7 linked regions of the Bombyx mori genome follow. The main gene of each other region encodes a partner of the protein of the gene in region 2 in a complex. Links are inferred from orthologs where the notes say so. Each region holds a gene or a part of one and is shown on either strand. Other genes may lie near its edges. The genes, in order: peptidyl-prolyl cis-trans isomerase H, U5 small nuclear ribonucleoprotein 40 kDa protein, CD2 antigen cytoplasmic tail-binding protein 2 homolog, pre-mRNA-splicing factor CWC22 homolog, U5 small nuclear ribonucleoprotein 200 kDa helicase, G-patch domain and KOW motifs-containing protein and U6 snRNA-associated Sm-like protein LSm2.

Evidence for each region.
Region 1: U5 small nuclear ribonucleoprotein 40 kDa protein (region 2) and peptidyl-prolyl cis-trans isomerase H share a complex: the UniProt entries of both Homo sapiens proteins name them as parts of the U4/U6-U5 tri-snRNP complex. The link is inferred for Bombyx mori from reciprocal best matches to the Homo sapiens genes SNRNP40 and PPIH.
Region 3: U5 small nuclear ribonucleoprotein 40 kDa protein (region 2) and CD2 antigen cytoplasmic tail-binding protein 2 homolog share a complex: the UniProt entries of both Homo sapiens proteins name them as parts of the U5 snRNP complex. The link is inferred for Bombyx mori from reciprocal best matches to the Homo sapiens genes SNRNP40 and CD2BP2.
Region 4: U5 small nuclear ribonucleoprotein 40 kDa protein (region 2) and pre-mRNA-splicing factor CWC22 homolog share a complex: the UniProt entries of both Homo sapiens proteins name them as parts of the minor spliceosome. The link is inferred for Bombyx mori from reciprocal best matches to the Homo sapiens genes SNRNP40 and CWC22.
Region 5: U5 small nuclear ribonucleoprotein 40 kDa protein (region 2) and U5 small nuclear ribonucleoprotein 200 kDa helicase share a complex: the UniProt entries of both Homo sapiens proteins name them as parts of the U4/U6-U5 tri-snRNP complex. The link is inferred for Bombyx mori from reciprocal best matches to the Homo sapiens genes SNRNP40 and SNRNP200.
Region 6: U5 small nuclear ribonucleoprotein 40 kDa protein (region 2) and G-patch domain and KOW motifs-containing protein share a complex: the UniProt entries of both Homo sapiens proteins name them as parts of the minor spliceosome. The link is inferred for Bombyx mori from reciprocal best matches to the Homo sapiens genes SNRNP40 and GPKOW.
Region 7: U5 small nuclear ribonucleoprotein 40 kDa protein (region 2) and U6 snRNA-associated Sm-like protein LSm2 share a complex: the UniProt entries of both Homo sapiens proteins name them as parts of the U4/U6-U5 tri-snRNP complex. The link is inferred for Bombyx mori from reciprocal best matches to the Homo sapiens genes SNRNP40 and LSM2.

The regions. Positions count from the first base shown.
Region 1 is NC_085116.1:6,471,605-6,475,168, reverse strand, and holds peptidyl-prolyl cis-trans isomerase H, read right to left. Parts: upstream 1,696-3,564; 5' UTR 1,356-1,695; coding exon 1,272-1,355; intron 1,183-1,271; coding exon 1,006-1,182; intron 924-1,005; coding exon 630-923; 3' UTR 612-629; downstream 1-611. Other genes in the region: coenzyme Q-binding protein COQ10 homolog A, mitochondrial, read left to right, coding at 1-442. UniProt on the Homo sapiens protein: PPIase that catalyzes the cis-trans isomerization of proline imidic peptide bonds in oligopeptides and may therefore assist protein folding. Participates in pre-mRNA splicing.
Region 2 is NC_085109.1:1,114,403-1,119,230, forward strand, and holds the start of U5 small nuclear ribonucleoprotein 40 kDa protein, read left to right. Parts: upstream 1-1,828; 5' UTR 1,829-2,058; coding exon 2,059-2,175; intron 2,176-2,486; coding exon 2,487-2,613; intron 2,614-3,174; coding exon 3,175-3,378; intron 3,379-3,699; coding exon 3,700-3,942; exon of another isoform or gene 3,943-4,504; coding exon 4,505-4,683; exon of another isoform or gene 4,684-4,828. UniProt on the Homo sapiens protein: Required for pre-mRNA splicing as component of the activated spliceosome. Component of the U5 small nuclear ribonucleoprotein (snRNP) complex and the U4/U6-U5 tri-snRNP complex, building blocks of the spliceosome.
Region 3 is NC_085111.1:10,749,690-10,754,187, forward strand, and holds the start of CD2 antigen cytoplasmic tail-binding protein 2 homolog, read right to left. Parts: upstream 3,039-4,498; 5' UTR 1,587-3,038; intron 1,263-1,586; 5' UTR 1,129-1,262; intron 903-1,128; exon of another isoform or gene 657-902; intron 532-656; 5' UTR 519-531; coding exon 336-518; intron 147-335; coding exon 1-146. UniProt on the Homo sapiens protein: Involved in pre-mRNA splicing as component of the U5 snRNP complex that is involved in spliceosome assembly.
Region 4 is NC_085110.1:1,337,824-1,342,428, forward strand, and holds the start of pre-mRNA-splicing factor CWC22 homolog, read right to left. Parts: upstream 2,952-4,605; 5' UTR 2,723-2,951; coding exon 1,675-2,722; intron 1,152-1,674; coding exon 494-1,151; intron 1-493. UniProt on the Homo sapiens protein: Required for pre-mRNA splicing as component of the spliceosome. As a component of the minor spliceosome, involved in the splicing of U12-type introns in pre-mRNAs. Promotes exon-junction complex (EJC) assembly.
Region 5 is NC_085130.1:11,205,033-11,209,099, reverse strand, and holds part of U5 small nuclear ribonucleoprotein 200 kDa helicase, read right to left. Parts: intron 3,630-4,067; coding exon 3,485-3,629; intron 1,649-3,484; coding exon 1,512-1,648; intron 1,085-1,511; coding exon 978-1,084; intron 632-977; coding exon 514-631; intron 1-513. UniProt on the Homo sapiens protein: Catalyzes the ATP-dependent unwinding of U4/U6 RNA duplices, an essential step in the assembly of a catalytically active spliceosome. Plays a role in pre-mRNA splicing as a core component of precatalytic, catalytic and postcatalytic spliceosomal complexes.
Region 6 is NC_085127.1:6,327,432-6,332,223, reverse strand, and holds the start of G-patch domain and KOW motifs-containing protein, read left to right. Parts: upstream 1-1,518; 5' UTR 1,519-1,825; coding exon 1,826-1,944; intron 1,945-4,792. UniProt on the Homo sapiens protein: RNA-binding protein involved in pre-mRNA splicing. As a component of the minor spliceosome, involved in the splicing of U12-type introns in pre-mRNAs.
Region 7 is NC_085129.1:20,029,524-20,032,517, forward strand, and holds U6 snRNA-associated Sm-like protein LSm2, read right to left. Parts: upstream 1,360-2,994; 5' UTR 1,287-1,359; coding exon 999-1,286; 3' UTR 919-998; downstream 1-918. Other genes in the region: protein suppressor of forked, read left to right, coding at 2,188-2,217. UniProt on the Homo sapiens protein: Plays a role in pre-mRNA splicing as component of the U4/U6-U5 tri-snRNP complex that is involved in spliceosome assembly, and as component of the precatalytic spliceosome (spliceosome B complex).

The sequences.
Region 1 (3,564 bases), on a different chromosome or scaffold from region 2:
AGTTGTATCAGATGTAGGAAGCTACAACAAATTCCTACCGTGGTGCAAAAAGTCTATAGTTTTGAAAGAAACACCAGGAAACCTGAAGGCGGACTTGATCATTGGCTTTCCTCCTATCAATGAAAGCTACACTTCAAATGTTACGCTAGTCAAACCACATTTGGTAAAAGCAGAGTGTTCTGATGGAAGACTCTTCCACCATATGTTGACCCTTTGGAGATTCAGTCCTGGTCTAAAAAGAGAACAGCAGTCGTGTGTTGTGGACTTCCAGATAACATTCGAATTTAGATCAGCTATACATTCACATTTATCTAATTTGTTTTTTGACCAAGTTGCTCGACAAATGGAAGGTGCTTTCATTAAAGAAGTCGGAAGGCGCAATGGGCCGGCAACAATGCAGCCTAGAAAGTTACTAATAAACAATCACACTTTGAAAACTTGACGCTTACTAATTGCAAACCAAAAAAATTAGTTCAATTCAGTGTACATAATTATTGAGTATTTATTGTGATTACTTTATGTAAAAATTTGTGAATATTATATTTTATCTATTAGTCTGTTAGAAATGTGAGGCAGAGCCATTGTGATTTAATGATAATAAAAAGATAAAATTTAAAGTGAAGTTTTATTTACATTTGTCCACATTGAGATATTGTTACTGGTATTTTAGGTTTATTATTTGGTCCTGTTGGTACATTTTCTATTTTCCTCATGACAAGTAATCCATCTATAACTCTACCAAATACTACATGCTTATTGTCTAAGAAATTACATTTTGCACATGTGATAAAGAACTGACAGCCATTCGTGTCTTTACCACTATTTGCCATGGACAATAACCCTGGAGAGTCATGTTTCAAACCAAAGTTTTCATCTGCAAAAGTGCTTCCACCATATATGCTCATAACGCCTGTACCGTCTCCCTAAAATGAATAGTAAATATTAATAAACTTCCATCATGTTCAGTTAGGCATCGTTTTATCATAAACAAAACTTAATACGTACATTTACGAAATCGCCACCCTGAATCATAAAATCTTTTATTACTCTGTGAAAAGTAGCTCCTTTGTAACCTAAGGGCACACCATCCCGCCTGTATTCACCGGTACAAAATTCTCTGAAGTTCTCACTAGTTTTTGGTACTACGTCGGCGAATAACTCGAATATCATACGACCTATTTCCTAAAATAAACATAAATATTTTATAAACATAAATTTTTGTGTGTTCTTTTAAATCTAATAAAAAACAATAAGTTCGGGGAGGTATTTACCGTTGTTCCTACAGTAATGTCGAAAAACACTACTGGATTGTTAGGATTCCTAAGTTGTGACTGTATTTGGTTCCAAGTAGGCATTTCAATGTGTTAATATTGAAATTTTTACTAAAACAACATTACATTTGTGTTAACAATTTAAAACTTCTATAAGTTTTAGTTTGTTTGATGTTTATTGTTACCCGGCTGTCAAATTTTGAGGTTATACTTTTGACATCCTTTCCTTGACATTAGGTAGCTTACAAGCCTATTTGTCCAGATCTAAAAACGGAATTTCTGGTGACTTCAAAGGACAAAACTTCACGTTTAGCGAATTTGTTACATTTTAAGATTATAGCAGTTTCTTCTATTTCGGCGAATCGTAGATAATAATAAAACTATCCTAACCGTTTAATTTCAATTATTTCTAACGCTTAGAATAACTACATAAAGTATTCGTGATCACAGACGACTATGGTATTATTCGTCAACAATTGTATATTGGGCGGGACTTTTTTTCGGGGAAGGACAAAGTCGTGTAAATTATTGTATTTCGTAAATTGTGCGTTTCTTCAGATTTGAACGCCATACCTATCTTATAAGTTTTAATGGAACCTTATTTATTATCTAACAAATACCTACGGTGATGTCTTTCTTAATTCACTTCCTTAAATTTTATCCCATGAGCAATTAATTTAATTCCATTATTCCCCTTACCTAACATACATTTAAATTTATATATATTATATTTATATTTATTTAAAGGTTACAGTTTTGTGACAAGAGTATTGAAATTTGTATGGTCTATCTCCTTTTGCCCGTCCAATGAACAAATTATAGATAATACAATAAAGAATGAATTTCAAACAATCAATCAAAGACTGGGCCAGGCCATAAATAAAATACAAAAAAATTCTAATCAAAGACTGGGAAGTGGGAACAGCAATTGAATTAAAGAGAGGTAAACTATTTTTTATAAATAAAACTCTTTTACGAGTTTTTATTAAATATGGAAAGTAATGACCTACCTATTGATTATTATCAAATACTAGATTGCGATAGAACAGCAAGCCTTGAAGAATTGAAGAAAAGTTATCAGCGACTCGCTTTGACATTACATCCCGATAAAAATAAAACTGATGATTCTGATAATAAGTTTCGCCTATTACAAAAAGCTTGGTCAGTTTTAAGAGAACCTAGCACCAGGAAACAGTATGATGCTACATTAAGTTGCCATGAAAATAGTGATCTATTGCTTTATGAAACAGTAAGACTGTCTGAAATGGTGTTTGACAGTGATGAAAATGTGTATTTATACGATTGTAGATGTGGTGGGGTGTATGTGCTTAATAAAAGTAATTTTGTGCAATCTAGTGTAATAATTGGATGTGATGAATGTTCATTTTCGATTCAAGTGAATAGATAAAAAAGTATACATATTATTGCAGTTTTATTTATTTATTGTTTTATGTTTGGCTGATATTAAGTTTTCATCGGAACGAATACTTACAAAGTGAATGCCAACAACCACCACAGTGTAACTTAAAACTTTGGGTCGGTTTCATTTCGTTTACTTTTTTATGTTAATTAATCTAGATTTCAAAAAAACTTAGTTACTTTATGTAATCATTTTAATTATGTCTGATTATGAAATATTTGAAATTTAAAGTATAAAGTTTAATTATATAAATATAGTATTATAATAAATAGAGTATAAATATTGCAAAGTTCCAAAATATACATCTATATAGTTATCAGTATAGTTTAAAATACAGACATACAATAATCTCCTTCTGATTCTAATATTTAGTCATTCATTTTTTCCAAGTCCAATTCCTAACCATTTATTATTATTATTATAATTTTCGGGCGGGGGCCGAACCTCCTACGAGGTCCCGTGCCTAGGGGGCGCACGGGGTATGTGGGACTTGACGATCTGCAAGGTGTTGGGAGCCGACCGCGGGCCCAAGGAATTTTAGGGCCCCACCCATTAAACGTCTCCCCTGCACTCTTACATCCGACGTCCGATCTCCGTCCTGGGTCAAACAAAACCAGGTAACCCAGTAGTAGGGGGGTTCCCGCGGTCAACACTACAACCAGACACGCGGCGCCACCCCGAGGACGCCCGACCGACGGGTCGTCGACTATCGCAACGACGTCGGTCTCCGCGGTACCGCGACCCTACCAGGTCGCCCGGGCAATGCCGCTGGTGTTCCGGGATACCCCGCTGGGCCAGAACCAGCCTGCCGGGTCGGAACACGATAACCGCCGACCGGGTTGCCCTTCCACAGTATGTTCGGCGACGACAGCG
Region 2 (4,828 bases):
AGTTCCGTTTTTCTAATTGGAATTTGGAAAAGCGAAAGTATCAAACCATAGAGCCTTTTATTGATTATGATTAAGGCCGAACAAAATCAAAATTAAATCCATGAAATCATTATTTCACAATAGGTATATAATCAATTAATAGTAGTATTCTTTTAAAGTGTTCCAATAGAAGATGAAACGTAGTCGAAAGTTTTAGAACGTATTGTAGTTTGACAAAAGTTCGTCGTTTTATTCGTTTTAAGTATGCGTATGCTGTAGTCGTCGTGGCTTAACGTATAAGACGTCCGGTGCATTCGTGTTGAGCGATACACCGGTGTTCGGATCCCGCAGGCGGGTACCAATTTTTCAAATGAAATAAGTACTCAACAAATGTTCACGATTGACTTACACGGTGAAGGAATAACATCGTGTAATAAAAATGAAACCCGCAAAATTATAATTGTAATTACTGGTGGTAGGACCTCTTGTGAGTCCGCGCGGGTGGGTACCACCGCCCTGCCTATTTCTGTCGTGAAGCAGTAATGCGTTTCGGTTTGAAGGGTGGGGCAGCCGTCGTTACTATACTTGAGACCTTAGAACTTGTATCTCAAGGTGGGTGGCGCATTTACGTTGTGGATGTCTATGGGCTCCGGTAACCACTTAACATCAGGTGGGCTGTGAGCTCGTCCACCAATCTAAGCAATAAAAAAAAAAAAATGCGTTCTCGTCTCTTTTAAAAGTTCATTACACAAACAAAGCGATCGGGGCTACACGTGAAAAAATTGTAACTTAAACAAATGATTTATAGCCGTCGTGACCTAAAGGATATGACGTTTGGTGCATTCGTATGTAGCGATGTAACGATGTTCGAATTGCGCAGGCAAGTGCCAATTTTTCTAATGAAATACGTACATATCAACTAAACTGACTTCCACGGTAAAGGAATAACATCGTGTAGTAAGAACAAAGCCCGCAAAATTATAATTTGCATAATTACTGATGGTAGGACGTCTTGTGAGTTTGCACGGATAGGTAGCACCACCCTGCCTATTTCTGCCATAAAGCAGTAATACGTTTCATTTCGAAGGCTGGGACAACCATTGAATTTTTGAGGAGGCAGTCTCCTCCCGGTGATGGTCACGGGGCCTCCCCCGGGCCAACTCCCTCACCTGAGGGGGTTGAGGCTGCGCCGCACGCTACCTACCATCACTCTAGCGCGCTGGCACAAGGAGGACGGGACAACACGTCAGCGACTACGGCCTGCAATGCGGTCCGCATTGTCGTCGTCACTATCGTCGCCGAACATACTGTGGAAGAGCAACGCGGTCGGAGGTGTATCGCGTTCTGACCCATCAGGCTGGTTTTGGCCAAGCAGAGTATCCCAGAACACCAGCGGCATCGCCCGGGCGGCCAGGTAGGGCCACCGTACCGCGGAGACCAGCGTCATTGGTCATCGACTACCGTCTCGACGACCCGTCGGTCAGGGGTCCTCGGAGGGGCGCCGCGTGTCTGGTTATAGTGTTGACCGCGGGAACCCCCCCTACATTGTCCGGATTCTGAGCCCGGACGGAGATCGGACGTTGGGTGTAAATGTGCAAGGGAGTCGTTTAGTGCGGTAGGGCCCTAAAACTCCTTGGGCCCGCGGTCTGCTCCCAAAACCTGCAGATCGTAAAGTTCCACATATCTCACGCCCTCTTAGGCGCGGGGACCTCTTAGAAGGATCGGCCCCGGGCCCGAAAAAAAACCATTGTACTTTAAAAACTGGGACATTAGAATTCAAATCTCAAGGTGCATGGCGGCATTTACATTGTAGATGACTATGGGCTCTAGTAAACACTTTAAGTTCTTCATTTTGAATGACTCATTATCTCATCTTCTCATCTGAATAGGTATACAAAAAAAAAACTTTTTAGAAGGTAGCTTTGTCTTTTGTTACAAAGAATTTGGCGATATTGGCTATTTTCCTTTTGCCTATACAATTGACAAATGAAACAAGCTAAACAGTCCTTATACCATTTTTAAGGTTAGTATTTCTGTTTGTAGCTATAAAAACAAATAGGTAAATAAACATCTTAAAAAATGCCAGATATAGAAACTAAAAGAAAAGCAGAGGATGTGTCTCTTGTACCCTCCAAGCGAGTACGGCATGAGATCTCAGTAGTCGGCACCAGAGAAAAGGCAGTTGTTACTTCATCTGTGAGTATTGTTTTCAATAAAGTTTACTTATTTTCTCAATAGTACGGTCTATAAAAGCTAAGAACTCTAACGCCACGGTGAAAGCATCAAGAGATCATAATTATAATTATTAGAAATGGAACATAACATCTAAAATAAACTTTTAGAAAAACACAATCTGTACTTAGGTAATCATGATTGATATTTGTTAAAATTTAAGGTAATACGAATTTTAGTCGGCTTTTACTTTAAGATTTATTTTTCAACATTTGTAGTGATCAACAAGATTCCAAGATTCCTGTGTTTTGTATTTTATATTCTTGTCGTTCTAGGTTCCACGAACATCAAACTTGTATGCGCCAATTATGTTGTTGGAAGGACACCAAGGAGAAATTTTCACAGGCAAATTTCATCCTGAAGGCAAACATTTGGCTTCTGCAGGCTTTGACAGACAAATATGTAAGTAACAAAATCATGACAAAGCTTTTGAATTGGCAAAGTGTTTCTAAAATTCACACTCTAATAATATACTACTATCAAAACGTTAATGAAGAATTGACACATTTGATAACACAAATTATAAGATTACAGTAGGTAGGTTTTAAATTTAATTGAAAAGAGTGAACAAGGTAAAATCTGACCTAGTGTATAAGTGATTATTGGAGACCATAGACATTATATTACAGCGTCTTAAATTTTCTCTGAAGTCCAAATCCATTTCAGTTTGATTTAATATGCATTATTAAGAATGACTGCCAGTACCAATATCCCAGGCATGGGCCACACTGTACTGGGGTTTTAGTGACACGAGCCCTATAATGTAGGGAACAATATGATACAATACTCAAAATGATAGCTGATATAAACTGTTTAGCTTAAGCCACCATTAATATAAAAAAATACAAAATAAATGTTTATACCATTGAAAATTTCCACCAATGTCAGGGTCATGTTGACAACTTATAAGCTGTACAAGTCCAACTTAGTAATATTATGATTTTTGATTTCTTATTTTCACAGTAATATGGAATGTGTATGGTCAATGCGAGAATGTGATGGTGATGAAAGGTCACACGGGAGCAATAATGCAGCTTTGCTTCTCACCTGATGGTTCACATTTGTACACTGGAGCTACGGACAATACTGTAGCAGTATGGGACGTACCCACCGGGACTAGAATCAAGAAGTTAAAGGGTCACGCTAACTTTGTGAACTCTGTTTCAGGTATGTTTCATAGTTTGAGTTTTGACACACAATGGTTTTCATGCTAGTGCTTTTTAGTAGTACAAATACACAACAGTAACTTAATTAAACATTACTTTGCACTCTCAGAGCCTTAAAGTGATTGGATCCAAATAAAGTGGGATTGACCTAAAATTGAAACTATAATCCGTAACCATGGTTTGAAACCAGATAACATCAATCTAAAATCTCAATGCCTGTGGATACAATAGAACTGTAAATTCATTCATGGCATCCATTAAAAAATTGGTTTAGACAACGTAACAATCTATTCTAACTTTCTCGTGTTATCTCTATATCCAGGAGCAAGAAGAGGTCCAGAACTCTTAGTTTCAGCTTCAGATGATAACACCATAAAATTATGGGATGCAAGGAAAAGGAATCCAGTTGCATCGTTTGACAGTTCATATCCAGTCACAAGTGTACTCTTCAATGATACAGCTGAAAAAATTTTATCCAGCGGTGTGGACAATGTCATCAAAATGTGGGATATAAGGAATAATCAGATTTCCTTGAAAATAAAAGGACATACAGACACGGTTACAGGTTGGTAATTCTTTATTGATTCTGATTAATTAGATTTTTATTAGGTGATAATACTGCAACCAGAAATTAAATTAAAATATTGATACAGTTTATCTAGAGTGGAGTGAGGGCAATATGATGACAGTAATGACTTCAGTCTATTAGTTAACTACTAAAATACTGATTACCATACAATGTATTTAACAAATATTGATCTTATGAGGAAATGAGAATGGATTGATTGGTATGCAGTACAGTAGTAGTAGTTGCATACATATGTATTTCTCTTTATAATCCCTGTTGTTACTTGTTGACGGGTGTATTGTAAACTTCTTCACCCATTCTGCCTTCGGTAGCCCAAACTGGTATTAGGTAATTTTAGAGAAATGTAACAGCTATTATTAGAATGTCTCTAGCCTTATAAGTAGTAATAATTCATGACTAAGACTACTTGTTTAGTTTACTTGTAGATCGTGAAGTCATCTACCCAGGTGCGGCAATAAATATGTGAATAGAAATCATATGAGTTTGATACATTTAATGACTGGCAATGTCTAACTTGTGTTGCAATACTCGTTTCCAGGATTATCATTGTCATGGGATGGTGCATATCTCCTGTCCAATTCAATGGATAATACACTCCGTATTTGGGACGTTAGACCGTTTGCACCAACAGAACGCTGTGTCAAATTAATGTCTGGCCACCAACACAACTTTGAGAAAAATCTGCTCAGATGTGCATGGTCTCAGGATGGCTCCAAGGTTAGTAGTTCACTCGTCTTGAAAAAAAGTACTCTAACATTTATATTTTCCTAATAGCCATTGTCTTAGTAGACTCCCCAATGTTGAAACTACTGCCGGGCGAAGTCAGACTTCTTTTGTAATATTTCTAGTTGTACCTTCAGAG
Region 3 (4,498 bases), on a different chromosome or scaffold from region 2:
TCTGGTCTACCTTTTACTTTAACCCAGTCAATGTTATCAAGCCATCCATCACGAATTTCTTTTTCTTTTTTCCAATGGTAATGTCCTTGTGTATCAAAATGCCCTTCTTCAAGTTCTTCTTTCATGTTAAAAGGTGTTATTGTAATCTATAAAATAGTACTAATTAATGAAATTAATATTTTATTTGATAGTTATAAGTATTAATTAAGTTGTTAATATTAAATTAGCTGAATTATCCTCAAAAGCATTTTAAGTATTGTTTGGAAAAAGAAACATTTTTTAATTCTCACAACAATTTGAGTATTCTGATTAGGTTTTTGACTTATTCTACTCACTTCACCTTCCATTCCACCAGTTCCTTCCTCTTCACCTTCAATATCATTGGAGTTCATAACATTATTCTTCTCTTCTTCAGCACCACTATCTTCTTCGTCGGAATCCAAGGAATGTTTCTTGCCATCCTTCGTGGCCTTTTTTACTTCGTCTATTAATGCTTCGGAAGCGGGACGCTTTGACATTTTGGTAAAGTAACTAAAAGGAACAAATTTTAATTAAAAACATTAAAAAATATTTGGGTTTATCTAACAAAGACTTTAAACTATAGGCACATTCCTAAATTATCATTGAACACTAAGCAAAGTTTTACTCATCCTCACCCTAATAATATTTTGGGCGCCTTTTCTTGAATAGGTGAACTCAAATTGAGTGAATCAGATTCAACTAGGTTGGTACACGGTTGGTACCTCTTCTTAATTGTGATTGTGTGTCTGTTGCCGTGTGTTAGGTACGCTATCAATGAAATCAATGTTTTTATGTCTATCAAGGTATGGTCTCAAATCTCAATTATTAATTTTATTATGTGTATCAATGACTCGAATATTTAAGTGTATAATCTATGTCTATGACTACGATGTTTGGTTTTAGGACTTTTTGGCGGGAACGCGAGGGGTGAAGTTGTGTGATTTGTTTTATTTTGTCTATTTAGTGTTTCTTCGGGTTTAGATATGTAATAATGGTGGTTTATTAACTGTTTAATATGTGTGTAACTGTATTTTTCTTCTTCTTTACTTAGACATTTTTGTCCACTTTGAGATTTAATTGTTATATATCTGTGCAAAACCGACTTACTTATATTAAATTGCTTAGCTATTTCAACTAAAGACTTATTCCCAAATTCATAGTCTTCTATTGCTGTTTTTAATATTAAGGGATCATATCTCTTATAAAGCTTGCACTCTTTGATACATACACGCGAGGCATATCTAAAAATAGAAAACAATACGTAACTGATAATATAAATATAATTGCACTAATAATTAAATAAAAGTTTTAGACAAAAACATCATGAATAAATGAGATTCTTACCAACACGTTTAAAAAAGATTGTTATAACTACATAGACAACCCTACAATCCTGTACGTATTTATACTTAAGTCGTTCCCATTCAACTTATTGTCGTCCCAATTGACCTCCCTTTCATTGTTATTTGTAGCTCAGGTGACCCCATTAACCCCAAACATAACAATTTTAATATGTATTTTTAAATTATCAAAAAACATTAAAACCAATAACAATTGAGACTTACCGTTAATATATATGATGGCTCAAACACTAAATAAAGTTTTTATATCACAGTCGTCTTATATTATTATCAAATAATATATGCTGGCTTAACCATCAACTGGTGTTCGGTTGTAAAGGACCTAGGCCTACTTATTGACTCCAGCCTGAGTTGGCGAGCCCAGGTCATCTCCGTGTGTCAGTGAGTTACACTTACACTCCGTATGCTTTACCGCCTGAACAATATCCTTCCGCCCGAAACCAAGAGACAATGCTCGTTTAAACTTTGATCTTCCCCATGATCGACTATGGTGATGTGTGCTACTTTGACCTGAATGCAGATCTACTCAATAAACTTAACCGGCTTCTCAATAACTGCATTCGATTTATTTATAATCTTCGGAAATACGATCATGTATCTTCTCATCGCTCCCAACTCAAATTGCTCCCCATTCGACAACGCCGTAGCTTGCGTGCTCTCAGTACTCTTTACTCTTTGTTGCACTTCCCAAATCCACCTGAATACTTAGGGTTTGACTACAGCCAAAATCTTCGTTCATCTCACAATCTTCTTCTTCGCTGTTAGTTCGCAGGTAGTTCGGACTTTTTACATTCTTCCTTCACTATTCAATCTATTCTTCTATGGAATGCGCTCCCACTTAAAATAAGGTCGGCCAGAGTTTAAGACAAGGTTTCGAGTACTTAGAATCAATTAGATGACTCTGCTAAGAGTTAGCAGAGTCATCTAATTGATATTTATTTATATATACACATTTTTATATGTATATATTTATGTATATGTATTTATTTAACAAACAAACAACTGTCTGTACAAACTGTTTAAATAGCACTCGGGAGTTATTTTGCGAAAAAAAACTGTCACACTTTTGGATTAGAAAAAAATAGATGTTGCTTCAGCTGAAGCACTGTAGTGCGCTACCGAAGAATTACACAATCAACGTGAAAAAAGAGCAACCGGTTGGCGATGTATCGCATCCCGACCCGACAGCCTGGTTCTAGTCCAGCGGGGTATTCCGGGACTCCAGTCGCACTGTGTGGGTGGCCTGACGGGCTATCGTACCCAGACGGCTGACGGCTGTAGAGCATTCCGTCTCAAAGGCTCCGTCGACCGGACGTCCTCGGGGGAGCTGCGCTGTCTGTAGTGTTGACCGCGATAACCCCTTTACCTCACCCGGGTTCTGACCTGGAAGGGTATCAGACGATTGGGCGAGAGTGCAGGGGAGTTGTGTAGTGGGTATGGCCCTAAATTCTATCCTTTAGGCCCGCGGTACCGGCGAAGGCGGACTTTCGGCGCGGTATTGTGGGTTTCGTGGAGTCGTAGCGGTCAGTAAGCCCCCTCAACCGGGTAACCGTACGGATTCTACAGCGTTAAAAAAAAACAAAAAGAAGGCCCGCGGTTCACTCCCATACCCCATGCGCCCCTAGGGGCGGGGTATTCCTAGAAAGTTCGGCCCCCAGTCCAAAAAAAAAGATCAAGCACTTCAAACCGCATTTCGTCGACTTTCGCCAGGGAAACTGCTTAGCTGAGTGTTAAGCAACATACCTTGATAAAAAAGTCGTCGGGGCCTAAAGGATAAGACGTTCGGTGCATTCGTGTTGAGTGATGCATCGGTGTTCGAATCTCAGGTGGGTACCAATTTTTCTAATGAAATACATACTCAACTAATATTCTGGATTGACTTCCACGGTGAAGGAATAACTTATTTATTTATTTTATTTATTTATGTACACACAGAAAAAAAGACATAGTACAGAGTAATAGGAAAATTATGTACAAAGGCACTGCTTATTTCTTTAAGAAATCTCTTCCAGCAAACCTGCGAGAGGATAATGAGAATAATAATAAAAAGTGATAAGTGTGTGTAGAACAAATAATACATAACTAAAACAACAAATACAACATGAGAATTATAGTAATGCACTTACACATACCAAATATTGTTAAACTTGAGTACAAAATATTATAAGTCACAGTAACACTCGTATATACGAAGAGTATAGAACCATGATCACTCGGTTGATGAGAGATAAAATTGTTTGACCTTGTATTTAAAAACAGAAACAGACTTGCAAACTCGGATGTCAGCCGGCAACGAATTCCACAGTCTGACCGCGTGCACAGTAAAGGAGTGAGAATAGAAATTGGTTTTGTGAGAAGGGAATAACAAAACAGAACGTTGGTTGGACCTGCAGGGAGCATCAGGAGAACGAATGAAAGAGAATCGCTCACGTAAATATAAGGGAGAAGTGGGCTTATGTAGGATATTGAATAGGAGACATAATATTCGAGTATTCCTACGAAGGCGTATAGGGAGCCATTTAAGTTCTTTGCGAAAATGTGAAACATGATCGAATTTTCTGAGATTGTATATAAAACGGATACATAGATTTTGCATCCTCTCAAGCTTGTTTGAGAGCTCCTCAGTGGCATCCAAGTAGCAGGCATCGGCGTAATCAATTATGGGTAGAATGAGAGCTTGGACGAGAGATATTTTTGTATGCTGAGGTAAGAAGCCCTGCAGACATCTCAACGAGTGCAAGGCGAAGTGCACCTTCCTACTAATCTCAGCAACGTGAGAACTCCACGAAAGATGTCGATCCATACACCCAGGTTTTTAACTGAATCGGTTAGAGTTATTTGAGTCCCATCCAAATAAATTGGGGGGAGTATAGGATCGCTGAGTCTACTGCGCAATTGTTTACCCCCTATAATGATAGCCTGTGATTTTCCCGGATTAATGTGCAGACCGTAGGCTTTTGCCCATTCAGTGATAGACTTCAGATCACTGTTCATCGCAGCAATAGCCGATTCAACGTCAGGCTCTGAGAAGTGGCGATATAGCTGGAGATCGTCTGCGTAGAGGTGGAATTTAGAAGATATAAGCCTAGTGACAGAGTTTATAAACACAGAAAACA
Region 4 (4,605 bases), on a different chromosome or scaffold from region 2:
ATATAAGGAGTAACTTATGTTACTTTTTTTAGACTAGCTTCGCCTCGCGGCTTCATCCGCGGTACGACAATAACCGCGGTTAACATCGCGGGGCTCAGCTATCAATAATAAAATTTAATGTTTCCGAAGCAAAGCGAGGGCAGTTCGCTAGTAATAAAGTTCGCAAGATTAAACCATAAAGATAGTTTTTGGTAAGCCGTAAACTTTGTTCACTGGTTCCGAAACCATCTCCTAACTCAAAAGAAAGGGTAAAGCTAGTATTAAATCACACCCATGAGCATAGCAATGTAGCAATTGTAGTTAAAATCAACATTCATTATTGTGAACCTCTCATAACAACTGTCATTGCTCTCAGCAATATATAATCGCTTGTCTGTGCCCTGAGCTATCCTTTCAAAGAGTTTCCACTGTCATTTGTCATATTTCCATTTGAAATTGAGGGTTTATTTATTATTATAAAACTAAAAAAACATCAAAACAAAGTAATACGAACGGATCTTGTAGACGGTCATTCAGTTTCTTTAGTCCCATGTATTCAGCCAGTTCTTGAAACAGAATCTTTATGTATATCCGACTAGAACTAGTTGTGTCTTCTTCGTTCAATTTAACACATTCCAAAGATTCCCAACTAATGGAATCTGTAAACAGCAGATGGGCGAAAAACTTGCTGACATTTCTGAGTCTATTCGTGTCCAACCTGTGTGCTGTTGAATATGAATCTTTGAAAATTTCCTCGAAAGGTCCGATGTATATTCTGTTGATGTTGCAAAACCTTTGGGCCAATAAGCCATAGAATTTCTCATATGTTCTCTGCTCAGCACAGCAGTCTAAGAACATGTGGCATAGTTCCACTTCTTGTCCTGGTTTCAGTTGCATCTTCATTAGTTTATGAGCACATTCTTCGAAATCTAAACTGGAGTTGATTGTCAGGTATATAGTGCGTCTCAGAGCCACTAAGTTTGTTTCTGTGTTATCAATAATAGTCATTTCTTTTTTTGGTTGTTCTTCATCTTCTTCATCAGATTCCTCACTACCGCTTTCTCCTGAACCATCTTCATCACCGGACTCAGCATCAGAACCAAGTATTTCCTTGCAAAGATTCTTGTACTTCTGTTCATTCTCTTCATACTTTTCATCAAATTTGAAAACATCTGAAGCATTTGGGAAAATTGTTATTTTTATTCTTTTATACTAATTTGCTTATTTTACATTTGTTTTAAATGGAGCATTAAGATAAATTGTTTATAACATTCAATAATGTTGGGCATAAATGAGTTAATACATACGATGGAAAATAAAAATAGGCTAAAATAATGGATATTGAATTCACTAACACAGAGTACTACTATCTTAAAACTTAAAGCAAAAAGTATATGAAAAAAAATTGAGATTGTTTAAGTTACATTTTTAAATAAGCTAAAAGCATTTTTATGTAAACTATATATAAAAATTTTTGATTAATCCTATTAAAAATTAAAACTTTACTCGTTTAGAGTGTTATATACACTCAAAACTTTTAGCATTTTAAGTGTTACAATAACTCTTGTGCATACCCTCAATAGCTATTAAATAACTTAGGGGAACAAATAATTCAATTGACAGACTGTACAGATAATCTACTTAAGTGTTTTATGGCTTATTTTTTTATGGATAGTTTAATAGAATATAACATACTCAGGATATCTTGAGGATCTGTAGCGTCATCCAGCATCAATAGATGTGTGAACTGTTCTTCTTCAGGCACGAGCTCCAACTCTTCAATCAGTGCCGGGTGGTCTTTGAACCCATCCTTCCAAACTTGGAACATTACTTCTATCATGTACTGAACTCTTTTGTCTAACTGACCTTCGTGCAAAATGTTCCTTAGCATCTCGAAAATTGCATTTACACCTTTAGATGATACTTCAGTCAATTTTTGGCCACATTCCTTTAAGAATGCTATGGCAACTTCAACTGAATCATCTGTTGGTGATTCAACTAGTAAAGTGAGAAGTTCTAAAGCCAGAATTTCATGTGCCACTCTCTGATTCACTAAATGTGCAATGAAAGATGCAGAGGAAATGCAAATTGACTTATCATTGCGTTTAAAACCTCTTTTGAATTGAATCACTAATCTTTTCAGTAACAACTCCCCGATATTAGGAAAACGTGAATTGACTGCTGATACTAGAGCCGCGTATACATTAGTGAATGTTGGCGAGGCTGCCTGGGCTTGAATAACAGAACGGCATAACAAACCTCGACCTCTGACAATGTTTTCTTTCAATAATTCCTTTATAATGATACCTATGTTACCGACATTAATTTTGTTGATGTGACCGTGAATTGACTTTTTGAGAGCTTCCCAGGCAAGTCTTTGGTAAGCTATCGAGGACTTATCCGTGATCTGCGCTTGCATCATCCTCAGTCTTGCTGGTGGAATGTATGCACCTCCTGTTCTAGTATTCAACATATCAGTATCTTTTGCGCGTCTTTCTGGCTTTGTAGAGGCATCTTTTTTTGTTTCTGGCTCTTTTTGTGTGTCTTTAACTCGTTTATCTTCCCTAGCCTTGTAATGAGGTGAGCGTGATTTGGAACGCCGGCGTTTACTTCTATACTCCCTATTCTGCTGTTCCTCAAGTGACTTAGATCTAGATCTAGCCCGTCTCGACCTTTTCGACCTACGCCTTTCATCATCTTCCTCGTATTTATCTTTCTTCTGCTTGGTGTTAGTCTTCTCCATTCTTATGATTTTTGTTTTGACACTACTAGACTACAATTGAACTTTTTATAAAAGAATTTAATACTGTATCTAGAACTCAATATTATTAAAACTATTCATTTTCAATATTATGTGTAAAATCATGAAATTTATTTCGATGAAAAAGTAGAACGTGCACTAAGTAAAATCCAGCTTGACCTTAATAAAACAGCCATTTTGTTTTGACATTTTTATTTTACTGTCATGTCAGTAGTAGTAGAGTAGTAGTAACTCCGTTTTCCAACTGAAAAGGTGAAGGTATCATACTATACGGCCTAATAAAGTAAAGTATTGTTTAAAAAAATTTAAATGAAGTTGTTTTTGCGACATTAATCAATTGAGATTTGAGATGACATTAAATGAAACGAAATGATATGAGATGAAATATAATATCAGTAAAATGGTGTTTATGTATTTGGACAAATTCAGTTAACTTTTTTAGATTATCCACTCTCGGCGCTGTTAGGTGCTAATTTAATGGATAATCCTAATGTTTGCAGCAAAGATTTTTTTTTCCTACCTAAGCTGATGTTCTAGAGAGATCATATCAGCGTCACCAGGCTAGTAGGTGAGCTCACGTTGCTCAAACCTGACGATGTTGCTAACACGAACCCTAGCAAGAGCAGTGCTGCGCAGAATCTACCACCGGATCGGAAACACGACCCACCGAAAAGATCTGGCGACAAACTCAGTGGGCTGTGTCTGTGGGTTAATTTATTCACCCAGTCCTTCGTCGCAAGCGAGGGGCTTGACGAGAACGATGACCGGTGCTTGGGGTACCTAAAAGCACCGTTAGTGGATCAGGAGGATCCGAGATGACGTATTTTGGGTGACGTCGAATGTTTACCATTTGGTCCGCAAGATCGGCAATGTAGTTATCGGCGGCCACGTTGAGAGGGTTCTCGTGTCGTCGGAGCCCATAGACACGTCATGATAATCGCCTTATCGTTGCCGCCGCTGATTACTCCCCGAATCCTGATCACGCAGGAGCAAGTCACCGTCGTCGCCCTAGACATGTCCTTACGGATCCATCAGATCCAATAACTCTTACATTAGATACCTTCAGCTCTAACACTAGGAGCAGGCTGAGGAACCCCGGTAACCGTACTCGTCGAACTCGACAAAGAGGTCGACGTGCAACCTAACCCATGCATCAGCTCGCTGAGTTTCTCACCGGATCTTCTCAGTGGGTCGCGATTCCGATCCGGTAGTAGATTCATTCGCGAAGCAATTGCTCTCGAGTTGTTAGGTCTCCTTCGGAGGCGCTCGGGTAGCTGTTAGCAAATCCCACCCCTCCTGGCTGAGCCTTTGCTCGCCCACCTGTCCTGGTGAAGCTGGAAAGGCCTCCGGGCCACCAGTAATCTTTCAATCATAAAAAAAAAACATTTACAACGTAAATGCGTCACCCACAAAGAAAAGCGGAAAGATTTCAAGAACAACGCCATAAGCAGCCACACTACAGCTATGCTCCGATAAGCACTGCCAGCATTGTAAGATGTGACGTCAATTTAATATACTGCGAAACTGTTCTTTTATAGTTAGCTATACTGGTCACTGTTTAAAACGGAACGTAATACAGTTTATTGTTATCGAAGATTTCTGTCGGTGTTTTCACTCTAACAAAAAATTATTGTTTAAATTTATTTATATTTGAAAAGAGAACATTCAAATTATTGTCGCTTAAATTAATCGCTTAATAAGACTCAGTATACTTTTTCATCATCATCATCATTCCTTCCTACTACCCTCTGCTGGGGTGTAGGGCTTGAATCAAATTTTTCCATTTACATCGGTCTTGGGCAGTCTGTTCTAGCTCCTCCCATGCCCAAGACCCCTAGCTCCTGCTCTACCGAGCGACGCCAAGT
Region 5 (4,067 bases), on a different chromosome or scaffold from region 2:
TTGGCCTGATCATGTCTTATAAATCGTTCCGCCTGAGCCTGTACGTGCAAGCGAGAGGGCGGAATAAGCATTGACTTGTGATACATTTATCTCTCTTCTCGCGTGACGTCAAAGCTAGCAGTTCGCATATCCTGCCGTTATGACATAAACTATCGTTCGTAAATCGACTTTACAGACAACCAAGGCTTATTTTTTTACTATATGACAGTGACACTTAAATTCCTTTGCCTATTTGTCATCTCACAATTTTTTTGGCTTATTTGGATGGACGAGTTTACAGCCCCCCACCTGGTGTGAACTGCTTACTGGAGCCCATAGACATCTACGACGTAAATGCGCCACCCACCTTGAGATATAAGTTCTAAAGTCTCACTATAGTTACAACGGGTGCCCCGCCCTTCAAACCGAAACGCATTACTGCTTCACGGCAGAAATAGGTGGTGCATACCCGCGCGGACTCACAAAAGGTCCTACCACCAGTCATCCAGGGTGTCGTCTACCGGGTCTACTTACCTGGTTCTTGCCTGCGTGCTCCATCACCTTCTCGTAGACGATGTCGTTCATCACCTGGAACCGCTTGAGAGCCTTCTTCTCCGTCACGCCGATGTACTGCTGCTCGAGGGCCACCGGTCTGTTCCATCAACACTTTATTAGTAATACCTTCCGACGCCAGTAAATATTAACAGCCTCGACTATACCAGCTAAGCGAAGACAGGTAGAAGAGAGAAGCTCAGTGGGCTGTGTATACGGATTAAGTAGCAGGATTAGTGGTGTTTGGACTTGACCTAAAGGTGTTATTTACTAGGTCATAAAAAAAAAGTTGTCCCTATCCGGTAGCTACCCTCCTTTCGCTTAAAAAATAAAACTATGCGTTCAGCATTCATTCGCAGTCTTTCTTACTTCCTAACACGACATCTCCCATCTTTCTCTCACTCAGGCATTCATCCACACCATTACGTTGCGTTACATAGGCCCACCTGAAGGAGTTGTCGAAGTAGAAGAGTCCCTTCTCGGGTCGTACGCGCAGGAAGGTGGCCACGTCCGTGTAGTTAGGCAGCGTGGCGGATAGGCCCACGAGCCGCACCTGCGGGCGCACACGCAATATTAGCTCGCGCCGAATTAAATGCGATTTATCTTTTTTCTTTATGGTATTCTAAAATCTAAATTTAGAGTTTAAATGTTTATATAGTAATAAAATGCAATAATCTCTCCCTGGAACACGCTGCGACGGATGTGTGGAGACGTAGCCCACGGAGGATTGACGATAGGGTAGTGGTGGTGGTAGTAGTAGTATTAGTAGTACTAATAGAGGTAGTGGGAGTGGTGGTGGGGGTAGTGATGGTAGTGATGGTAGTGGTGGTAGTAGTAGTAGTAACGGTGGTGGTAGCAGTAGTGGTTGTGGTGGTAGTAGTAGTTGTAATAGAGGAGGTGGTAGTAGTAGTAGTACTGGTGATGGTAGTAGTAGTGCGATAGTGGTAGTAATAATAGTAATGGTAGTAGTAACACGTTACCTCCTCCCGAGTCTGCTCGACCGTCCGCAGGGTCCGCGCCACCAGCGCCTCCAGCACGGGCCCGCGCTCGTCGTGCAACAAGTGGACCTCGTCTATGATTATAAGCCGGACCAGGTTCGTGAAGGAGCGCTCACCGCCTGCGCAGACAAACAGAGTGTCAATAACGACCGCGCGTGTTTTGTCTACGCGAGTGACATTATTATTATTACTGACAGCGGATGAGCTGACATTATAGGAAATGACAGATGTCTATACTGCAACTCGAATGATATTTGTGACATAAACCCATAGACCTATATAGTAGGGACACGACATATTGTTCTATACGTACAATTGCTTATATAAATAGCACCCATTTTGAAGGCACACACATAAACATATATCTATCTCGTTCTTACTCAGCACTTTAACTCGCAGGAAAACAATATAACAGTATTTCAGTGCGTACATAAAATGAAACATGAATATACGTAAATATCTCCGTCTCCGTCTAATGAGGCCGAAAATCCGCCATGTTTAGCGCGCCAAATGTCATTGTCACGTCAGTTCGGCCGTCTGTTTTGGGTTGTACATTATTTATTGACTTTGATATCGATTTAATATGATTGATTATATAAAATTTCATAATTTATCATGCTTAAAACATACAAAAATAATAATTAAAACGTATTTTATAGGATCTCAAGAAAGTCGATGCCCTAAAACTATTATCTATATGTATTTAAATTCATTATGGAGCCCTCATCCGAAAAATCCATTTTTCGGTCGGAATCTATTGATCATGACACTAATCATAAATACCACTTTAAAATATGTCATCAAAACATATTTAGACATTCTGTTTAGATATTTCGGGAAAAAGGCTACCGACAAAATCTCTTCGGAACTATTTAAATAAAATAGTTTTATTCCGCAGTGAGTAAAACACTATTGTAAATTTGTTAAATATTTAATAATTAAGTGATTTTAGAGAGGAAGTCACAAGGAATGACGTTTTTAATAATGAATAAATGTTCTGTAGGTGTTTTTTTTTCACGCGGTCCCTTGATAAGTTTAAAATTTGAATCACTCTCAAGTGAAAGTGATTCAAATGGTGCGGCGCACCTTCCTTGGGGTGCGCTGCGGTAGTGTTTTACGGACTTTGGAGTCAGCAAAACAATTAAAATAGATTGTAATAGTCTAAGAAAAACACGTACTCAAAATACGATAACATTTAGCATGCTAGAAATGGGCTGATGGCTTTGAACTACGCCATATCTTTATGTTTTGCGACAAACGACAACTTTATAAAATCAGTGTAGCAACTTTTAAAAATCATCATATCGTTTACTTGGCAAATTCGAAGGACGAACTTGTCTTAGATTTCACCCATCTAAATCATATCATATTTGCACATAACAATATACCTACTTACTTCCCATTAAAGTATAAATTCTACAAATAAATAATACTCAACAATATTTAAAATAAAATGAGCCAAGAACGTTTATCGATAAAACCTGATAACATTGAAATCTTTTGTACAGCACTAAAGCCGCCATGTTTTGTGGCCAGATGACGTCACACTGGCACGAAATTTTGGTTGACGTTTCATTTCCATAGGTTTCCTACTTCATTGCATAAACCATGTTCCCAATTCAATATGCATCGTTTAGTTTTCGCGAGTGATATGTGTGATATCTATATATTAATACGTGAAGCAAAAACTTTGTATCCCTTTTTACGAAAATTGCGCGGACGGAGCAGTATGAACATTTCCACACTTATAGAGAATATAGAGAATATATAGAAGTGCACAATGCTAATATATATTTTTCTCCTACCTACGCCGAAAGTTCGGTTTTCCGCCCGCTGTACAGGGAAGAAAGTGTTAAGTGTAAGAGCCAAATCGGTCCAGCCGTTCTCGAGTTTTAGCGAGACTAACGAACAACAATTCATTTTATATATATATATAGATATATGGATATGCTAACCCTTCCTGGTGATGATGTCCCACTTCTCCGGAGTGCACACGATGAGCTGCGTGGCCTCGATCTGCTCCCTCGTGAGCTGGTGGTCGCCGGTCAACTCGGAGACCTTCATGTTGTAAGCGGACAGACGCTTGCTGAAGTTGCCCACCTGAAATTTTATATTTTAACAACATATTTTTATCATTATTTTTCTAATGAGTGTAGGTATCAACAAAAATCTCTTTACTTAGTGAAAAAGTATTATTCAGGATTTCGTATTTCTTAAAATTATTCATTGTATTTTTATTCAATTAATTTAATCAATTACTAATTTCAACACGTTGTCAACTATTGCACTGTCGATTGCATCTATAATTGAGGTGACATGTATTACGAACTTATTGTCAATTTGTCAATTGTTTTTTTTTTTTTGTTTTTTTTTTGTATTGATGATCAATTTGTTGGAGCATCTAAATAAATAAATATTTTTTTTTTTTTTTTTTATTGCCTTTGTAGGCAGACGGGCATACGGCCCACCTGATGGTGAGTGGTTACCGTCGCCCATGGACTTCAGCAATGCCAGGGGCAGAGCCAAGCCGCTGCCTAC
Region 6 (4,792 bases), on a different chromosome or scaffold from region 2:
TAGATGATTTATTATTAAGGGATTTTATGACCTGGTAACTAAGACCATAAGGTCAAGTCTTATTTAAATTTTAATGTGTAACTTTTTATATGAAAATGATATTATGAAATGAAATTAAATGAAATGAAAACGAAACGAAATGAAATGGGATGATATTAACATACCTAAGCTACCCAACCAATTTTTTAAATACATCAACAGTTGATGTATATAAATATATATATACACCAATTTAGGAATATTATCTGTGGCGGGCAGCCATCATACAACGATTCATCATCAGCGCATCAAGAATTTCGGCTACCACAATCCCCGCATTCTCGCAAATAAAACGTCATTGACAGTCGTCCCACAGCAAGCCAGCACCGCAGCCTCAACAGGACCATCGCAGCCGACTCACCGCGCTTCCTGGTCCTACGGCACACAACTTCACTGCTTCATCACGCCGCTACAGTTCATCGCAGCCCACGACCGGATCATCAACGCTTGGGGTCACACATCTCCGGCGTGGCAGCTCTGCATCACATGGACTACGCACGACACGCACGCAACGTTCAAGCTCAGTCTCGACTCACTGCAGACTTCGAGCAGCACTGGCGACAATCACGCAGCATTCAGCTCAGTTTCGACTCACTGCAAACTTCGAGCAGCACTGGCGACACGCACGCAGCATTCAAGCTCAGCCTCGACTCACCGCAGGCTTCGAGCAGCACTGGCCCTTGCAAGCTAATCTCAGCACGGACAACGCTAACTAAAAAATGACACGACCTCCAGTCTCGGAGGGGAGTGATGTGGCGGGCAGCCATCATACAACGCAAGATAATTGACAGATGCCTGAATCTCGCTTACGACATTTTCAAGATAAAGCGCATATATACAAGTTCCAAACAACAACATTCGGACCGTCGGTCTACCGAGCAATATCATCCGCTCGGTGGAAGATCTTCCCTTTGTCGTATATACCCAAATATCTATGGCATACACGATAAAGGCAGAACTCTCAAAATTCTCAAATATTAAGTGTATAAACTATGGGGCAGAACGGCGATATCATCTAGTCTGACTTTTTGGCGGGAACGCGAAGAGTGAAGTTGTGTGATTTGTTTTTATTTTGTCTAATTAGTGTTTCTTCAGGTTTCAATGTGTAATAACGGTGGTTTATTAACTGTTTAGTATCTGTGAAAGTGCACAAATGTGGGAAAATGAAACAAAGCCGCTGAACGTAACTTCTCGGGATCTTCCAAAAAGTCCACTGAAAAAGTCTCAGTAAATGACCACCATTTTACTGAGATTATATTTCATCCCATATCATCTCTTATCACTTCATACCATTTCATCCCAAATGATTAATGTCTCAAATTAATCATCTTCATTTCATTTCACTCCATATTATCATTTTTCATAAACATAAGAATATAAATTAAAATAAGACATGACTTAAAGGCCTTAGTTACCAGGTCATAAAATCCCTTAAATTTTTTTTGTGTATAATCTATGACCCATAGATTTTTTTTGGTACAACTTTTCCTTATTAGGAAAAGCAAGGGGATCTACGCCCATACAATCTTTGACCCATAGATTATCCATTTAATACTTTACTGGATGTCAAATGTCAATATTATGTCAAACTCAAAGCAAGAAATTTGATCGACATCGTTGAAATTATAAAGTGAAGGTCAATGCGAAGCGAAGCAAACCAAAACATATAAATTCAAGTTATTAACGAATATAATTTTGAGCGAATCAAATCAAAAGTGATGCATTTGCAAAATTACTTGTCTGTTTTAGTAAATTTGTGCAGTTTATAAGAACTATAAGAACGAAAATGGAGGGCAAAAAAATATCTTTTGGTTTCATGAAAACGAAAAAAGCAGAAAAACCAGTCGTAGACGAAAAAAAGGACTATATAGAATGTGTAGAGGAGAAATCTATCAAAGTAGTCGGGTAAAATGACATCAAATACTTTAGAAAACTACGTTAACATTTTAAAATTTTATTGTTTTCATTTTAAAATCAAATGTGCTCTTTTTTTTATTGCTTAGATGGTTGGATGAGCTCACAGCCCAACTGGTGTTAAGTGGTTAATGGAGACCAGAGACATATACAACGTAAATGCGCCATCCACCTTGAGATATAAGTTCTACGGTCTTAATTATAGTTACAACGCCTGCCCCACCCTTCAAACCGAAACGCATTACTGCTTAACGGCAGAAATGGGCAGGGCGGTGGTACACACCCGCGGGGACTCACAAGAGGTCCTACCACCAGTAAAAAACAACAAATATATTAATTTACTTTAAACTAGATATCAACTGACTTGCAGACTTAATATTAGTAATGTCACTTATGAAAACGATCATAGAATGCTGCAGTCATAAATTCTATGAAACAATTTTGCTTGAATGGAGATGAAATTTGCCTGCATTTTTAACCAACAAAAAGGGGGCTCCTGTGTTCTTGTAGATAGTAGGATCTTCCCTTTTCCACGCGATATCACCCTCATGAACAGTGATTACATTGTTTTTTAAGGAAAATACTAAAAATGATTCCAAAATCAAATACAAAACAAACAAAGAAAAACTGGGGAAATGTAAAATAAAAATGGGACTTTGGGTAAACAGTCTTCCTAATTTATGCCAAAAAAGATCTCCAAAATTGAAATGTGGGAGTATGTACCTCACATCAACTTCTACACATCTACCTTAACACTTAAATTTTAGCTTTCCATGTTAACTATAAAATTTTACCAAACTCAATCTGCATTAAGGTAAAAGCACTAATGCTGGACATTGAACTAAAAGATGACACTTTAAAAAAAAAAAAATTCTAATAAGGAAACTAAACACTTAAATAACATTGCTGTTGATGTTAGACACCTAGTACCATGTATGATACATTCTCAAAAGCTTGCGTACAGTGTTAGAAGCAAATTTCAAATTGGCATCAGTTGACAACAAACAATGTGAGCAGGTTGACGTTTTGCGCGTAATTCTTAGCGTATTCCTTAAGCCATCTGACTTTTAACAGGTATGATTTTGTCTTATATTTATAATTATTGGCTACTGTTGGTTTCGATATTATAAATGTATGAAATTATTGATTTATTAGGACCAATTCCTTGTTATTTTGGTTTGTTTTTGTACAAATTTTAAGTGGTGTTTACTATTAGTACCAAAAATGAATCAAAACCTAAAAGATGACACGTGTGTCTTCTACTAGGGTTACATCGAACTGAATTTGTTAGCTTAATTTTCTTCAAATTCAGCCTTTATGTTGTAAAACAAAAGTTTCAATCTGAGTTTCGTTCATTTTACACTAGTCTAACTAAACGAAGACAGTGTCAACTATTAGGGTATACTAGATGTCAACTATTAGTATCAATTAATTTCAGCTTAAGTTTCGAGCACGATGCCACCAGTAAAGGGTCGGATGTTTCAATACTCTGAAGCCAATATTGAAGAAGCCATAAAAGAATGTATATGTTTGAGGATTTACTGGTGGCCCTGAGGCCTTTCCAGTTTCACAAGGACAGAAGGGACGGGATTTGCTAACAGCTACCCGAGCGCCTCCAAGGGAGACCTAACAACTCAAGAGTAGCTGCTTCGCGAATGAATCTACTACCGGATCGGGATCGCGACCCGCTGAGAAGATCCGGCGAGAAACTCAACGGGCTGATGCTTAGGTTAGGTTGCACGTTAGGTTAGGTTGAACTCTTTGCAGAGTTCGACGAATACCATTACCGGGATCTCTACTCCTAGTGTTAAAGCGGAAGGCGTCTAATGTAAGGGTTATTGGATCTGTTGGATCCGTAAGGAGGTGTCTAGGGCGACGACGGTGACTGGCTCCTGCGTGGTCAGGATTCGGGGAGTAGTCAGCGGCGGCAACGATAAGGCGATTATCATGACGCATTGCCTTATCGAAGTAACGTTCCGACGCGGACTTCATGTATTTTTTGATCGGTTCGAGGTCCAAGTCGTCGTGTAAGTCGACGTTCCTCACGAACCACGGGGCTCCGACTGCTAACCTGCAAAAACGAGATTGTAGGGATTGGAGGGTGTCTATGTGTGTACGGGCCGCGTGAGCAAACACCACACTCGCGTAAGTCATGACCGGCCTTATGTAAGCTTTGTAAAGTGTCACCTTGTTCCGAAGGGACACTTTACTCCGCTTACAGATCATGGGGTAGTCTGCCGAGAATAAAAGCGGCACGGTCGCGGACTGATTTTATATGTGGGTGGAATGTCATGGATGCATCCAGGGTGACTCCCAAGTACTTGACCTTCCTGGTTCAGGATATGAGGGGGGGCGTTCCGACAGCTTCTGCGGCAAAGAAATTTGGAGTTCCACGAGTAACTTTATTAAATAAAGTCAAGTGAAAGACACCTATTATGCGTAAAATGGGAAGAAGTTGTTATTTAACCAAAGATATAGAAAAAATACTCGTAACATGGGTAAAAGCTATGGTCAAACAAGGGTTTCCAATAGGAAAAGATAATTTACAAGATAGCGTTAAGTAAATAGTTGATGATCTTAATATTGATTATAATTGTTTATAATAAAACTAATGTTAAAGTCGTGTCTATTATTAGTGCCAACTGATGTCAATTTTTGGTGGATTTGATTTTCGATGCTGTCATCTTTTAGTGTCTATGGCAGAACTAACAAGTTTGTAATTTTTTGTAGAAACTACAACAGTATTGAAATATTTTATATGAAAAAATTGATCTCTAAATGTAGCTCTAACAGTAAAAAAAAAGATTTAATATAATTTTTGATAAATACATTTGATAAT
Region 7 (2,994 bases), on a different chromosome or scaffold from region 2:
TTGAAAATAATATTCCAGCGGCTTTGTGAAATAACTGCTATAAATTGTACCTATACAAAAATACGCATTGTTCGGTACCTAACTCTTCACGAATGTTATACGTCTACTCGAATTCGCCCACAAAAAAAAATTTAGCATAGAAGTCCAGGAGTAATGCGATGTAGTCTATATTGAAATAATGAAAATAATGTACGGTACATAGGTACGGTACTTTAAAAAAATATTGTACATAGATTAGAAAGGTGTTCATTTATCATATTTTCACTAACAAAATTTCAATATGTAACGGAAACTTACAACAAATGTAGTTTTAAAATTATGTTTCTATCTATATATTTCTGTAATCTATCTAGTTATATATATATAAATGAATTGCTGTTCATTAGTCTCGCTAAAATTCGAGAACGGCTAGACCGATCTGGCTAAATTTGGTCTTGAATTATTCGTGAAGTCCAGAGAAGGTTTAAAAGGTTCAGGTTTCAGGAAGGTTCAGTGTTTGGCAAGCAACATATTTTAATGATGCTTTTACAATCCCTTCTGCCTATGGAAAACTATGACATGGCCATCTTCAGAAAAAGTATATCTTAAAAATCCAAAATAACAGCTTTGTAAATATTTACATCCAAATTATGTACACTAGAGATCTAAATCAATTCTGGTTTGAAAAAAGGCTTAAGTATTAAGGAATGCAGCTATGTCTAATAATTATCAGTATAGTTTGATGTGAAAGGTAATAAAAACTTTTTTCTGTGATACATTTTTGAGAATGGTAAAAATATAGATGTTTTTTATTGATAAATTATTCTTTCATACTCTGGTATAAAACTTACATAAAACTGAAGAACTAGGTTATTTTTCGATCAAAGGAAACTTTCTTTTCTGAAATGAATATCCGGAGACCGCTACTAAAACACTATATTATAAGAATGATTTATTAAGAAACTTAAGCTTATATTAATATGTACACTTTAAATTGAAGTTGTAGGTTAGGTTAAGTTCTATCTTGTTGAAACGGTCGCCTCCTTTCTAGCGGCATCCTGGAGAAGCTGGGTGTCTACCTCATCAGCCGGCAGTTGTACGTATCGAACCACGGAGCCTCTTATAAAACAATTTTTCACTGATAACATATGAGGATACTTTTCAGAGTCAATCACGCTTATATCCGAAAGCTTTATATTGAGATATTGATCCACAGAATGCAACGTCCCACATATGCTGAGGTCATTTTTCAGCTCGACGACTACATCCTTACCGACTAACGATTTGAAAAACGAGTAAAACAACATTTTTCGTTTTGTTTGTTTGAAAACGCGCTGAAACAGTAATTTGGCTTGGGTTCTTCAATTAATGTCATTTAAAACTCAAAGTCAAAATCATAAAATGTCAATGCCAATAGCTTTTTGTAGCGGTGTGAATCGGTATTTTCCGTAATTTTGTTAGTTTTGTGCAGGAGCACCATCTCATTTCCAATGTCTTGCATTTACTACGTTTTCGTTACCTGTGCTTAAATTTTTAAAACAAATCGGGACTTTTTGGCGGGAACGTAAGGAGTGAAGCTGTGTGATTTATTTTATTTTGTCTATTTAGTGTTTCTTCAGGCTTAAATGTAATAATGTAATCTAATTTAATGTGATAATGGTGGTTTATTGACTGTTTAATATCTGTGAAAGTGTACAAATGTGGGTAAATGAAATAAAGCCGCTGGACATAGCTTCTCGAGATCCTCCAAAAAGTCCACTGAAAAAATCTCAGTCAATGACCACCATTTTACTGAGAATATGTCATCTCATATCATCTCATCTCATCTAATTTAATTTAATTTCATCGCAGTTGATTAATATCTAAAATTAATCATCTTCATTTCATGTCATTTCACTACATAATTGTAACATTTTTCATAAAAATAAGAATATTAATTAAAATAAGACATGACTTAAAGATCTTAATTACCAGGTCATAAAATTCCTTAAAGCGAAATGTATAATCTATAGCGTCCGCTAATCCCGTTTGAGCTTGGTTGAGTTGTTTAATTTTTTAAAGAAAATTGTGTTTTTTTATTGTTTTAAATCGATTTTAACACTGAGAGTAATGTGTCCACAAACAATCAGTACCTCATTTACTTAGTTCTTCGAAAAACTGTTGCTCGGACTTAAAACCAGATAGATAACCTCAAACGTAAACTTCAAAATGGCATCTGTAGATGAAATCGCCGACATTGTGAGTTTTTACGCATTAGTCGCATTAATTGAATATAATTAAAAACTAAAAGAACAAAGGTTTTCTTTTTTGATTTGATATTCCTGAATGTTGTGTAATTCGTTTATATAAGTGCATGTATTAGCAATCGATTGTTGTGTAGTTCTAAACAAGATAGTCATTTAGAAAAAAAAAAGAGGATCCTTAGTTTTATAGATACCGAAAACACGAGAGAGTTGTGACTGCGCTCCAAAACCGGAAGCCATTAAGTAACATTGACTTCGACCTGTAGTAACGTAAACTAATAATCAACCACTAAACCAACATTACAAGCGATTACACTGGAACCAGCTGTCTGCTAAGATCATTACAATTTCTCAAGAAAAAACCAAATTGTAGTACCTAGATCCTATATAATTACTCTAATCCATATTTTAAAAACGCCAATTAGCTGTTTAGCCTCTTACTGGTGGTAGGACCTCTTGAGAGTCCGCGCGGGTAGCTACCACCACCCTGCTTATTTCTGCCGTGAAGCAGTAATGCGTTTCGGTTTGAAAGGTGGGGCAGCCGCTGTAACTATACTTGAGACCTAAGAACTTATGTCTCAAAGTGGGTGGCGCATTAACGTTGTAGATATCTATGGGCTCCAGTAATAACTTAACACCAGGTGGACTGTGAGCTCGTCCACCCACCTAAGCAATAAAAAAAAAATTATAATGAGTTAGATACCCCACTGAAGCTTCATTACACTTTATAACTGTAAACTTCTTAGATGTAATTAAGACTATTTATAAAAAG